Linked DNA regions of Notamacropus eugenii. Each later gene encodes a partner of the first gene's protein in a complex. Links are inferred from orthologs where the notes say so. Each region holds a gene or a part of one and is shown in the gene's direction. Other genes may lie near its edges.

Region 1 (7,018 bases):
GGGCAAGTCTAGGGTTGGATTATACTCATTTGAGAGATATGGGAGTGGATGTTTTGAAAGCTAATACAGAGGTTGTACATGATGGAGCTCACCTGCAGTCTCTGTTCCTGGGGAGGCTGAGGCTGCTGGATCACTTTAGCTGGGATTCTGAGCTGAAGTAGAGCTATAGTTGATTTGGTGTTCACACTACATCTGGCATCAATATGGTGAGCTATTGAGAGTAGGGGGGGCTACCAAAGAATGGGAAAATTGGCCCAGGTTGGAAACCATGCAGGTCAGAATTTGTGTGGTGATCTGTAGCTGGATCAGATTGTTGCTGTACTTCCAATTTGGGTGAGATAGAGTGCTCCAATCTCAAAAGGAAAAAAAAAGTTAGAGTGTAGCTGACTTTCTCTCTCCATCTCTTTATCTTTGGAAGGATGTTGATACTTAGGCAGCACTTTTTCCATTAGGAAAACCCAGCACCCTTTGTCCCATTCCTAAAGGGAGATAAGTTTAGATTGATGAACATTCTCAATCTCATGTAAAGGAGGTGAGATTTGGATTTGCTGGGGAAGTGAGAGGTAAAAATGACAAAAGTTACTTCTTCAGTCATACCTGCTTTATACTACAGTCTAGAGAAACACTGAAATGACCTGTGTTTCCCTTATTCATCAGAGAAATTTAAGAAGCCATACCTGTTCAAGAATGAACTTCCCTTTGCTCAGTTCCCAACTGAGAGCTTCCTAGAACTGAACTTCTAGGAAGTTCTTTCCCTTCCTGCTATGGCAAAGATAGTAGCAGGGAATAAGTGATTAGTCTGGTATATGTGTGGTCAGTGCTTTGTTATTCATGGACTTGTAAAATCATGGATCTAGAGCTGGAAGGGAACCAAGACATCATCTAGTCCAAACCCTTTATTTTATAGATGAGGAAACTGAGGCTTAGAGATAGAAAGGGATTAAGTGACAAAGCCAGGCTTTGAGATCAGGTCCCATGAATCCAAGTTTAGCATTTATTGCATTGTGCTGCTTCCTCAAATTACATCTGTAAAAATGCAAAGGAGTTTGTCTTGTCCATCCACACAGGAAAGACCAAGTGGATGAAGAATGTCTGTTTCCAAGATTTCAATATGCATCTGGGTAATACCCTATAGAACCTGTCAAGCAGTACGTATAACTGGTACTGATGGAATTGAAGGACAATGAGGTGGCTCAGAGTTGAAAAAGAGGAGAACAGATTGTATTACTTTCAGGAAATTGCAAAGTTCCTTCCCTGACCCGAAGTTTCTTATGGTAGCAAAGGTCCATCTCTTCAATTTTACTCCTTTACTAACATTGCTATATGGCAGTGAGATATGTAGCACGCTGCCTCCAAAGAACCAAAGGTGATTATCACAAAAAAAAGGCAAGGAAGAGGTGGTGTGTGTGTGTGTGTGTGTGTGTGTGTGTGTGTGTGTGTGTGTGTGTGTACAGGCTACAACAAACAGTCACTGGGGAACTCTAAAGCCTAGGAATGAACGATGTGGGTAAGGAACTGTATGAAAGCAAGAGAAAGGCTAAGCCAGTGGCAATAGCAAGGGATGACAGGTAGAAGGTTCTAGTGATACTCTTGATGTTGAGAGAAAGAAAGTAAAGGAGATTCCTACTACATTGCAACAAGAGTGGCACAAGCTAGGCAAACATAAATGGGTAGAGATCTACATTGATGGAAGCAGCTCCTGAATGGATGGAATTTTAGATCTGTCAACCAGACCCAACTGGCCTCTAACTTGTGGATGGCCAGAGCTGAAAAGAGCAGGCCAGAGACAGGAGAGTCAGAAATCAAACAAGTTCAATTTCAAAGTGAGGGAAATTGCACACAAGCAAGGAGGCAGATTGAACACATGTGCCAGGGCCCTATTCCTAGTGGAGGAACCTGTTTTTGTGTGGCTGAACCTTGATTTATACATTTGAGGCTAGACAAAGAGTCAAACAGTATAGTGTAGCAACAGTGAGGCAGGGTTGTCTGGTGACAAAAAGTCTGTTCGTTGCAGGCTTCGTGTCTGGAGCTTCATGTCTGGAGCTCAGGGACCATCAGTTCCAGAAGGTAAGTGCAAAGGATTGTTGTTATGCCAAGCTTATGGCACAGCTTGCTTGCTGAGTCTTAGCTCTGGAAAACAGAGTGTTTCCTAATATCTTGACAGACACATTTAAGTATTTGAGTATTTTTTAAAACTGTGCTAATTAAAAAAAGTAATGGTGCTGACAGAAGGGATCTTATGAAGCATACACAAAGAAAAGGGGAGAAGGGGAGTTTTTAGTTGTTGGTGAGGAACTAGCTGAGAGATTTAAGTGGTAGATGTTGACAATCCCCCAAAATGACATCAGACTCTGACATAGACTATGTAGGAGGCAGAGCTGCATGATTGCCCAAATGCAGAGCCTCTGGGTTTTTGGTGAAGGGAAACAAGGAGCTTGGATAATACAACATCTTGACAGCTATAATCTAATGTCCTTATAGCCTTTGCAACCATAATATATTGTAGAAAGAGTTGTATCATAAGAAAGTTACATATAGCATTTCATGGGAACATAGCCATTTGGGGTGGGAGAATGGGAATCTCACCCTAGTGGGCCAACCCTTGAATTCCTACAAATCCTTTAAAGCTCAATTTAAATTAAAGCTCAATTTAAATACATCTTTTCCTAAGGTGCTTTTCCTTTGGACCTTACATAATATTTTGCTTATACCTCTTCTGAACTTATGTATCATTTTCTATTATAATCATTTGAATATGTATCCTATCTCCTTACTAGACCACAGAATCTATGAGAGTAGGAATTGTGTCATATTTAAGTTATGTGTCTGCCACAGTGTCTAGCCTTCGTTAATTGACTGGCTGACTGTGTACACTACTTTATTTTAATTGTACATTACTTTAACTGTACATTACTTTAATAAATATTGGCTGTATTGAATTGAAAGGTGAATTGAGGTGGCATCACTGAGGGGTTTGAATGCTATGCTAATAAATCAATCAACACCTATTTATGAAGAGCCTACTACAAGTCAACCACTCCGCCAAGGACGTCTTCAAAGAAGTTACATTGTATCAGAGTACAGCAAGTACACATAAGTAAATAGAAAATGTATACAAAGTAGCCAAGGCAAGGCCTCTGAACGTCACTTGGTGGGCAATAAAGAACCACTGAAGGGTTTTTGAGTCGGGAAGTGACACTATCCGTACAATTTCAGGTGCAAGTTCTAATCCAAGGCTATTCTGAGAAACTACTTGAAACAGAGAAGTTAATGGCTCTTAAATGAAAAGTCCAGTTACTTGCCCAAGTTAGAGGCAAGGACTTGAACTGTCTGCCCGACTAGAAGCAGCGCTGTATCCACAATAGTACACTCCTCTCTGCTGAACGTTAAAGGGAACTTCATGGGTCTTAAGCCGAAGGTAGGGTAGGAATTTTAGGGGCTGTGGATGCTTCATTAGGGAGATATTTTGGGATCTGGGCAGCCTGCACCGCAGCGTGAGGACTGGCACGGCTGCTTCTCCAGGTGCCCCTAGCCAAGTCACTTCACCTCTCCGGGTTGCACCCTGCGCGCTTCAAGGCTCATTTCATGGCTTAACTGACAGTGAGACGGGAGGTTCTTTGAAACTACCCTTTTAACGAGGCGCCGTACCTTCGGCTGAGAAGACTGGTTAACGAGCAGACCCCGGGGAGCGGCAAGCTCCCTCTGAACCCCGCTCGGCCGCTGGGGAGGACCGCGGGAGCCGCGGAACCTTCCCCGGCGCGGCCCAAGGCGCGGGGGAGGACGCACGCGGCCGGGACAGCTGCACCCAAGGAGCCTGGGAGGAGGGGCGCGGCGTGCCGGAGCTAAGCATTGTGGGGCTTGCCGGGAGTTTCGGCGGGTTCTGTTAAAATGGCGCCGCGGTGACGCGCCGTCCCTAAGCGTTGGGCGAGCGGCCGGCCGCGGAGGCGCCTGGAGACCCGCGTGGGTGGGCGGGAAAAGGAGGCGAGCGCCGCGGCAGAGCCCCCGGTGCGCGCCGGGGGGAGGGGGCCGAGGGGCAGGAGGCAGGTGGAGGAGGGGGCGGGGCGGGGGGTGGTGGCGGCGGTCTCCCACCCCCTCCCCTTCCTTCCCCTCCCCTCCCCGTGGGCGCGCGCTTCCCCACTCCCTCCTCCCCCGGCGCGAGGATGGCGACTCCGGACCAGAAGTCCCCGAACGTTCTACTGCAGAACCTGTGCTGCCGGATTCTGGGCAAGAGCGAAGGTAACGGCGCCCCCTCCCCCCGCCCCAGGGGCCCCCCTCCTTCGCCGGGGGCCCCTCCCCCTTTGCTGCCTGGCGGAGGCTGAGTCATTGCGCTTGGAGACCCCCGGCCCCTTCTCTGGTCTCTGGAAGGGGGGTGAGGTGGAGGCGGGCGGAGAATTTATCCCCCTTTGGGGGGTGGGGTGGGCGGGTCACGTCATGAGCAGGGGAGGGCGGGCTCCTTTTGGTTCTGGGAAAACTTGGTGGGTGGGGTTGGGTGGATGAGTTCCCACAGCTGCGCAGGAGTGGCTGCTACGTGGTAGCCACCCGTGACCAAAACATGGTCACATTTTTTGGAGAGAGGGGAAGGTTTGCTCTTTTTCTCCCCCAAAAGGGAAAATGGAACTGGTTCAATCGCTCAACCACTGGGTGAGGACGGAAGGATGAATAGGCCCCCAAACTACTGAATTGTTTGAACTATCACCGTCACTGACGAGAAACCAAAAGCCTTATAGCCACAGTACTAAAAAAAACAAAACTAAACACACACAGCCCTCCTCCTGCCATTTTCTGTAAAGGCTTTGGTTATAGATCCAGTGATGAAATTGTAAGACAGACGTATTTAAATTCCAGTGGGTTCTCAGAAGGTTGGCTTCCAGGTGAAGGAATTTTGCCTGGAGCCACTCATGAAACTGTTCAGGTGTGGAGGGCTTGTGATCTTCCTTCCCACCGGGATCAGCTGCATTAATGTAATCTTAGATCCTTGGAAGTAATGAGAAAAAGAAATTGACTTTCATGTAAGTGAATTGTCTGGCTAAATGAAACTTTGCCCATCTAGCACTGAAGCTTTTTAAAAATGTAACCATTTGTGATGAAATTGACAAAATAGGATCCTTGCATCCCTGCCTCTTAAACAGAGTGTGCTGAACATCACTTAACCTTTTCTTAGTGACTTATGATAATTACTGCAGTGGCTTATATTCTCAGGGACTGTGGAAGGGTGCTGGGCCATTTGCCCCTAACAATAATACCTGAACTTTATAGGTTTTGAAGGCATTTTACATCATTGTCTCATTTGAGCTCAAACAGCTCTTTGAGGTAGTTTCAGTTGGTGTTATTAACCCCATTTTACAGATGAAGAAACAGTCCTGCTAAGTTTACATGATTTCTTCCTAGTCAATAAATGGTTTAGTTGGAGTTCACATCTAGGTCTTAGTAACTTCGAGTCCGTTGCTTTATCTCTTGTGGTCTCTGTACTGTGTCAACTGAGTTTTCATAGTCTTTTAGCCTCTTTCATCATTGCCCACTTTTCACTATTTTCAGTGTGTACCTTTCTCCAGGATTTCTGCTAATTTATTAATAATTTGTTATACTAATTTATTGCTTTTAATCAACTGTGGTCTTACAATTCTTGTAAGAATTGTTTTAATTTAGAATAAAGAGCCTTAGAGGTTCAGATAGGAACACATTGACAAATTTTGTTGTTTAGGGACCTTTTTTGCTTATTTCCAGGTTCTTTGCTGTGTGTTGGATAACTGAAGTGAAGTGAGGTGGCATACTTAACATTTTGATGTATGCTGCTATGTGCTGTTGATAGTATTTGCTGTTCCATTCAGCAGAGAAAAGGAATGGTCAATTGCTACATTTATTTAAAATATTTACAGGATCTTGGGTTTAGAACTGGAATGACCTTAGAGATTGAGACCTTTACAGATGGAGGCCCATAGTTTCGAGGGAATTGCAGAGATGTGAGATGGCTTATTTAAAGATCACTTAAAGTGGCAGAACTGACATAGGAAAGAGCTCCTCTCTGGATCCTAGCATTCATTCCATTGTGCCATACTGCCTCTGGTGGTGTAGATTTCATGGCCTGTTTAGATACAATTTATCTGAGTTCTGGTTAAAATGTTTATCTAGTTAGACTTTTTTGTCTATAGTAGTCTATATTTAGCCTATAGTAATTACTAGTGTTTGTGTCGTTAACTTGAGTGGTAAGTAACAAATATTTGATACCATCTTTTCGCAACAGTGCCCTTTGTGAGGCTTTGCTTTTGATGGAATAACAAAGCCACTCTAAATTGTTTTGAGAGAGAGAGAGAGAGAGAGAGAAGAGTATGCATATGTATTTTTTTCAGGTTGGCTTTTATTTAGTATTTTATTTTTCTCTAGTTACATGTAAAAACAATTTTTAACATTTGTTTTTAAAACTTTGAGTTCCAGATTCTCTCCCTCCCTCCCATCCCACCCAGCCTCATTGAGAAGACATGCAGTTTGATGTAAGTTATGTATATGTAGTCATGTAAAACACATCCATAATAGTCATGTGTCACAGCAGGGACCCCAGCATACACAGAAGGGCCTCCTGTACAGGATCTTTGATGTGCTTTTCTAAAAGGAAAGCAACTTTTGAGGGATCAACAATCACTTTAATCAAGCACATGTATCATTCACTTAGTTCAGGGGAGAAAATCGGCACCCCGAACTTCAGGGAAAATACAAACAGAAATAAAAAGCAGTAATTACAAACAGAAGGACCAACAGGGCTTCCAATAGTCTGACATCATTAGCAGAGATAGAAGCACCAACATCTGGGTTTTCAGGGGAGGGGGGCTCCTTAGCAGCTGCCCAGAGTCTCTTCTTGGCACATGAACCTTATTCCAAAAAATTAGCCCCAAAGCAAAACCTCACCTCAGAGTCTTTATACCCTTTTCAGGGCTGGAGGGCATGACCCTCATGACCCTGTGCCTCATTAGAAATTAACAAAAAGTGTCAGAGGACTATTAATGGACAGGGAAGATTTTTAATT
Region 2 (7,196 bases), about 56 Mb from region 1:
TCAGAACTGGGACAATCTATACTCTCTGAAAGTGAACCATTCTTGTAATACATCTCTATCTGGCATGGTGAATCTGCACAAACTACTCCACCTTGCTGCCTTTATATCAATTTAAAGGTTTCATTTTCTACTACTTTTCAAGAGCAGGTTATTACACTTCAGGGCAAGTATACAAAAACTTACCTAGAATGACTTAAATATATAGCTTGACGATGAACGTCTTCTGGATCTATTTCCACAGGATTTATGACAGCAAGTTGATCAATAGACCATCTAAATTTCCCTGGAGTCTTAACAAAAAAAAGAAACGAACATTTATGAATAAAACGGTGAGCTGCACAATGTTTACTATTCTATCAAAAAACTAATAAAAGTCACCTTCAGGAAGACTAGGAGCAGCCAACATTTAACACAATGTTCTCTAAAGCTAGTGACACATTAACATTGGGGTGGGTGGAGGGAGTCAAAAGGGTAGGAGAAGCAGGGCAAGAGCTATGATTTGATCAGAATAGGGAAGCCTGGTATAGAAACTCTCTCCATCAACCTAGATGAGCAATTGATCAGGAATTAGTCTTAGAAAGTTGCCTGGGGCACTGAGAGGTTAAAATATTGGCCCACAGCTAGTAATGCTACATGCAGGACTTGAACCCACATCTCCCTAAACTTCTTTAATATCTACTATGATATTCTGCCTTTACAAAATTAGAATAAAAACTACTAAAACAAAAGGTAATATGGACAAATTTACTAATTTCTATTTTAAATAATCAAGACACTCCATAGGGACGAATTTTGAATAAATTAATAACAACCAGTCAGTAAATAAGAACGTAAGTGCTTGCTATGGTCTGACTTTTCCCAACAAAGAAATATGCTAAGGGAAAATTGTGGATGTAATGAAAAGACCCCTGAAATTGGGAATCAGAAGACCTACATTCAAATCCCTGCCATGTTACGTTAGTGATATGTTGTCTGTCAGTCTTTTTTAGTTGTCAGTCATATCTGACTCTCTGCAACCCCATTTGGGGTTTTCTTGGCAAAGACAAGAAGTTTGCTATTTCCTTCTCCGGTTCATTTTACATGTGAGGAAACTGAAGCAAGCAGGGTTAAGTGACCAGCCCAGGGACACACTGAGAGTAAGTGCCTGATACCGGATCTGAATTCAGATCCTCCTGACTTTAGGCCACCTAGCTGCCCACATTAGTTATATAACTTTGAACAAATCTGATAACTCCTCTGTATGCCTCAGTTTCCTTACTTGCAAAACGGAGTTCAATAAAACACATGAACAAAGCAGAACTGCATGAAAGAAGAGGTATAAAGCATGCCAGTGAAAGGAATCACAGGAAATCATGTAGCAAAAGAGAGAAACGATGATATCAATAACCACTAAAATTTGTATGGTACTTTAAAGTTCACAAAGTAGTTTACATACGTTACCAAGTCAGAGCTCAGGATGAGGCGAGGCAATTGTTACGTGTATTATTAACCCCATTTTAAAGCACAAAAAACAAATCTAAGGACACTCTGACTTGCCCAGGAACATACACATGGCCATTAAATGTGAAGGGGCAGTATGTAAACCTATGTTTTTCTAAGTCCAAGTCAAATACTCCATCCCCTACACCATGTTGCCTCACCAAATTGGTGACATTCATAGAGTGCTTTAAAGTTTGCAATGCAATTTACATAGATTATTTCAAGTCTCACAACAACTTCATGAGGCAAAAGGAAAATGAAATTCATTGAGGTTAAGCGACTTAACTATGGTCAAAAAGTGAAGAGGTGTCATAGGCAGATTTTGAGCTCAGGTTTTCCAGATTCCAACTCCAACATGTAACCCACACTATGTTGCTGTCAGCCATATATGAAAGATAGCCTTTGTCTTTCACTGCATGGACCCCTCTCTAGAAATGTAGAAAAAAATCCCATCTCTTTGGATAGGGCACTCATTAAAATTTATAGGAGGACATAGTCCAATCTTCCAGGATGAGGGCACATATATGAGTTACAAGGCAGGTTTCTGAAAGGAATGTCTACAGTGTGATCAGAGATCCAATGAATCTTCTGTTTCATGGGTCACCATGGACAAATAATGAATTGTTTAACACCCAACCTCTTGTTGATAAGTTTGTCTATAATGGATCCTGAAAAGCACTGAACTAGTCTTAAAAATTTTCTACCTAAGTACAACCTGCCAAATTTATGCTGTTAGTATGATTAAGAATCTAAAGTTACCTTCATAGTAAGACGACATCAGAGAACCTTCCTAGAAATTCAGTAAAAAGTTATAATCCCAATCTATTTTAATTAAATGCATTATCACCATGGAATCTGTGATGTTAGAACTTCCTGATAAAATGTGTCAAGTTAAAAAGATGAACTCAGAGAAATTTTTGCTTTTCTTTAGGCCATCCACAAGGCTTTACTGAATACTACTTTGGGCTAAAACTGAAGAAACTTAGGAAGCTTAAATGACTTCATATTTTTCACAAACTTCAACAAGGAAACCAACTATGGAGACTGAGATGTGCACTGACTCTGAAAGCAGACCTAAGCATTAATCTTAGCTTTGGCACTTCCTAAACATGATGACTGCTGGCAAGTCTATGAACTCATCTTTAAAATGGAGATAACATGCAGCCAACCAAGTGCTTATAGCCATAAAGCACTATTAGTCAGGCACTGCTATTATTGCTATTAACAAACATGTTCTCTAAGTGTCACACTGTTACCTGTAGTGAGGAAATGTTTTTATTTGAATATATTTTTATAAGTCATATGATTCAATTCTTACGGATGAAGATTTTGTAGATTTAAATGCTGAAGGACTGGAGACGATTTGTTCTTGCAGGCTGGAATAATCACTTGGACTTTCAAAAGGATTTAGGACAGTGATCTTTCCCGGAGTTTCCGGTGTTATTTGCATTTTAGCTTCTTTGACATCTCCCATAGCATAAAACTGAAAGAAAATCACAGACAGGATCATCAGTTTTCCCTTATTGAAATCTGACCATAGCATTCATGACAATCCTTTACAAAACAAGAAGAAATGACTACAATGTTAAGAATAAAATTGTGGCTTCCAACAATAGAGGATGGTGTAAAATCTTGTGAAAAAATTTAGAGTGGAAACAAAGTAACCTTCTCCCCCACCCCCCACAACCCCACTGAGGAACTTTGCCACATGCCTGATCAACAAACTTAAACTTCTCTCTAACAGCTTACCTCGATCTACAAGAACTCTGTGGTATTTCAGCAAACTCAGCTAGTCAATTACTCAGGAGCCGTGCTAAGCCATGGGGGCACAAAACAGGGCAGAAGAGGGCCCCTGCTCTGAAGGAGCTCACAGTCTAAGGTGGGTGAACACATGCAACCTACGTACAAAACAAGACTTACAGAGGACAAACTGGGCATTAATAAGAGAGGGAAAGCACACACCCTCTCCATTCACCTACACAGCCTCGGCTCATCCAACCTTCTTTTTAAGGTCTATGCCATTACTCCAAAACAATACGCTTGCTCAGGTCTGGGCCAGTTACAGGCTCACGTTCCCTAGGTGGGCAAGGGGTCTAACGTTTCCAGGACAGGACACAAGGTGGCCTCCATCCCGAGACAGAGGAGGGGTGCCAGTAGGGTGAAACGTGCCTTCCCAGAAGTTCCACAAAGGCAGCCTCGGTCTGCCGGAAAGAGGAAGTTCAGAGCTATCCCCGTTCTCCCCCATTCTCCTAGGGCACGCTCGGCGCGGGAGGACTGGCCAGCAAGGAACCCGGGAAAAAAGCAATCCCGATACAATGAGGGGGTTGAAGGGGGAGCCCCTCCAGAACACGTACCTCTAAGCCGTGGGTGAGAAGCCACGATTCTCACGGTGCGAGAGCTGCAGAGATGGAGAATCCAGGTAGTCCTCCCGGGGGTCCAGCAGCTGCCGCGGCAGCAGCAGCCAGCTACTCTTTAACTCCCAGATTCCGAGATGCCGAGGACCAACCAGGGCTCGGGGCTTCCGGGAGCTCAGCCAATCGTGGCTGCGAGCCGTCCTCGAACTGGCCAATCAGACGGCCATCGCGTAGGAAATTCGAATGGAAACTTCGCGCTTCACGCCCCCATAGTAACGAGGCCCCGGGATTCAAACGAACGCAACTTTATGGAGCGCCTCACGGCGGCAGACACACAGCGCGAGGGGCGGAGCCTCCCTCCGGCGTGAGGAGACGACGCGCAGCCTGATTGCCCGGGAGAACAGGACACTACCTCCTGTTCCGGGTCAAACGGTTCTCCCGCTTTTCCCCTGCCTTGGCGGGCAGTCGCCATGGCAGGGAGTAATAGCGGCGCTGCGGCTGCGGCGGCCGCCGCGGCCAACCTGAACGCGGTGAGGGAGACCATGGACGGTGAGTTCCCGTCCCTGTCCCTTCTCCTCCTCTCCAGTTCGCAGGCAGACGCGGGGCCCAACGAAAGGGGTGGTTCCGTTGGAAGCTTGAGAATAACCCTCCTTTTCCCGGACCGCTTCCCCGACAGCCCCGAGTCGGTCGACGCCTCGCCTTCGAGGGGAGCCTCCACGGCTTCTACGTACGCGGTCGCGCGCGTCGTCCCGTTTCCCCACGTCGGCGTCGCGCTCCTGGCGCCCGGAATGTGCGTGGGTCCGTTATCCCTCCCTGGTCTGGGACCCCGGGGGTCGCGCTCCCTTCCTCGGCCTCCTCCCACTGTTTGCTCTAAAGCGGATCCAAACGCGGTCCAGCGCGGGGGTGCTGGGAGGAACTCTCGTGGCGTCGGGTCGGGCCGGGTCGTGTGTCCACGCACTGAGTGTGGCGTGGGCCACGGGAACCCACGTAGTGTCTGTGCACTGGAGGGTGAGCAAAGTGAAAGGCCCGGGAGCGTCTGGGTGTGTAGGTGGGAACCTGGGGGAAAAGGGCCTGCGTCTGGATGAACGTGAGCCCGATGAAAAGAAGAAAAAGTTGCGGCAGGGCTTGAGTTTGCGTGACTTCACGTGATGAGATTGAAATTCCTTAGGCAGAGATGACTGAAGTGTTTGCTATGAAAGAAATAATAGCTTATGCAAATGGTAGTTTCCTCAGTCTCTGCTCGCGAAGCAAAAGGTGCCGGTCCAGTCCTTGCAGAGGTGATGATCTTTTACAATGTATCCTGATTATTTACAATGTATCCTAATTGTAACTTATTTCTATGCGGTTGTTTGCGTGTTGTCATGGGAGACGCTGGCGCAGGACTGCTCACCACAGGGCCCAGATTGAGACATTACAAAGTAAACATAGAAGGCACAAATATAGAGTATCCACCCCACATATTCCCACCGACTGTCTGTGCTCAACCTGTGGTAGAGCATTCCAAGCTCGGCAGTGGTCTGATCAGCCCGCTCAGACGTTGGAAGTTGAGTTTATGTGGTGATGTCATTTTGGTCCTCTTCCAGAGCCAAGGACCACAATCAACCCAGTTAGACTGAGTTTCTTGAAAGCAGGGACTGTTTCTCCCTTTCTGTGCCTGGAGCACAGAACCTCAAACTCAGTGGACCATTAATAAATACTGTCCACCAGATGTAATTGACTTCCCTTAACCTGCATTATTCCTATTTCCCTTTCTTGTATTGCACTTCCCACTTCAGCATTTTCCAAATATGCTCCGGACTCCCGTCGTTTGAAAAGAAAAATGCCCTTGAAAGACTCTCCCATCCTTTCATTCTCTGAATCTGACTCTTCCCATTTACAGGCCAACTTCTAGAAAAAGCTGTTTATACTCTTTGCCTCCATTTCTTTTCTCAATTCTCAAACCCTTTAAGTCTTACAGCCTCATCACCCAAGTGACACTGTTCTCTTCAAGATTACCCGTGATATTTTGTGGTCTTTTCATATCCTCATTCATCATAAGCTCTTTACAGCATTTTACACTCCTGAATACTTTCTTCTCTTGGGTTTGCTTGCTTCGTTCCTTTTGCTTTTACTAGTCTAACTGCTCCTTCTCATGCTCCTTTGCTGACATCATTCATATCCTACCCTCCAACTAGTTAAGTTCGCTCTCTTCTCTCTGTGTCCTCATTTTTGGTGATCTCATCAGCTCCCTTGATTTCAATTTCCATCTCTATGCAAATGACTTAGAATCAGGGGTGAGGAACCTTCGGGGTGGGGAACCTTCAGCCTGGAGGCCACATGTGGCCTTCAAGGTTCTTGGGTGCAGCCTTTTGACTGAGTACAGTACCAACAAATGCTTTTTTTAGGCCAAAGGTTCCCCACCCTTGATTCCTAGATCCTAGTGGAGATAGCCTAAGTCCCTTACCATCACTGAGGGGATTTGTGATACTGCTCCATTCCTTGGTTCTTTTGCCATTCTTACTACTATTTTTTAATCTTCTGATTTAATCTTCTCTGCTGGATTATAATTGACATCACACTTTCTAACCTCTCTGAAGTTCTGGGTTTACCACTTGTGATCATAATTCCCAGTTCAATATATCCAGTCCCAGTTTCTCCCCTGATTTCACCATCACCAAACTGCCTTTTAGACATTTGAAACTGAATTTCTAGAGACTTCTTAAATTCGACATATCTAAAACAATTTATTATCCACCCTCCCCACCCTTCAGCAAAAAAAAAAGTACCCCTCTTCCAAATTTCCTATTTTTTTGTAAGGCATTATTTTTCTGGTCTCCCAGATTTGTAATGTTGACTTTACACTCAAATCACTCCACATAACTCAGCAGGATTGTTGGGGTGTCATGGTGTGTTGCAGGGTTGTCTTGAAAGAATTCACAAAGACCATTTCCAACCCAAGCAAAGGCATCTATTGATGATAACAATCTCAGAAAACTGGCTAGGCTCCTTAGAGGAGCTAACAGCTTAGCAAAGCAAGACAGGAATTTTTATAGAGCAAATGGTGTTATTAGCATATTGGAATATATGAATATTAAAACATAGGAGGGATTTACTAATATGGGGAGAGGTCCTGGCCTTGGTGGAATTGCACATGTGGCTACCCATAATGCATACAGAAAACCCCCCGGGGGGGTTATTAATGTAGGATAATTATAATAAGCCTCTCTACATCACAAGTTTACCTAAAAGCTATCACTGCACAGGCATCCACTTATGGAAAGAAAGTCCCTTCTGTGATTTAGTGATCAAACATCCTGCTCGGTATCCTTCTGGTGCTGCTTTCTTACTGACTGACTATTGTGGTCTTGCCTAAAACTAGATGGA

What was found. Proteins that work in one complex are often made in the same cells at the same time.
Region 2: the proteins of TUBGCP3 (region 1) and MZT1 are in contact, whole or in part, in a cryo-EM structure (PDB 7QJD), measured with the Homo sapiens proteins. The link is inferred for Notamacropus eugenii from reciprocal best matches to the Homo sapiens genes TUBGCP3 and MZT1. Residues at the interface, in NP_006313.1 of Homo sapiens: Lys7, Pro9, Leu12, Leu13, Asn15, Leu16, Cys17, Arg19, Ile20, Leu21, Arg23, Val28, Gln31, Tyr34, Ala35, Val38, Ile39, Asn42, Phe43, Ala44, Pro45, Thr46, Ile58, Leu62, Arg67, Asp70, Phe74, Leu77, Lys80, Leu81; in NP_001065243.1 of Homo sapiens: Asn17, Ala20, Val21, Glu23, Thr24, Val27, Leu28, Glu30, Ile31, Ser32, Arg33, Ile34, Leu35, Asn36, Thr37, Leu39, Asp40, Glu42, Thr43, Ile46, Cys47, Val48, Arg49, Leu50, Cys51, Glu52, Gln53, Gly54, Ile55, Asn56.

The regions. Positions count from the first base shown.
Region 1 is NC_092877.1:209,040,991-209,048,008, forward strand, and holds the start of TUBGCP3 (gamma-tubulin complex component 3), read left to right. Parts: upstream 1-3,920; 5' UTR 3,921-4,160; coding exon 4,161-4,236; intron 4,237-7,018. UniProt on the Homo sapiens protein: Component of the gamma-tubulin ring complex (gTuRC) which mediates microtubule nucleation.
Region 2 is NC_092877.1:265,287,062-265,294,257, forward strand, and holds the start of MZT1 (mitotic-spindle organizing protein 1), read left to right. Parts: upstream 1-4,194; 5' UTR 4,195-4,303; coding exon 4,304-4,382; intron 4,383-7,196. Other genes in the region: BORA (protein aurora borealis), read right to left, coding at 184-290, 2,798-2,953. UniProt on the Homo sapiens protein: Required for the recruitment and the assembly of the gamma-tubulin ring complex (gTuRC) at the centrosome.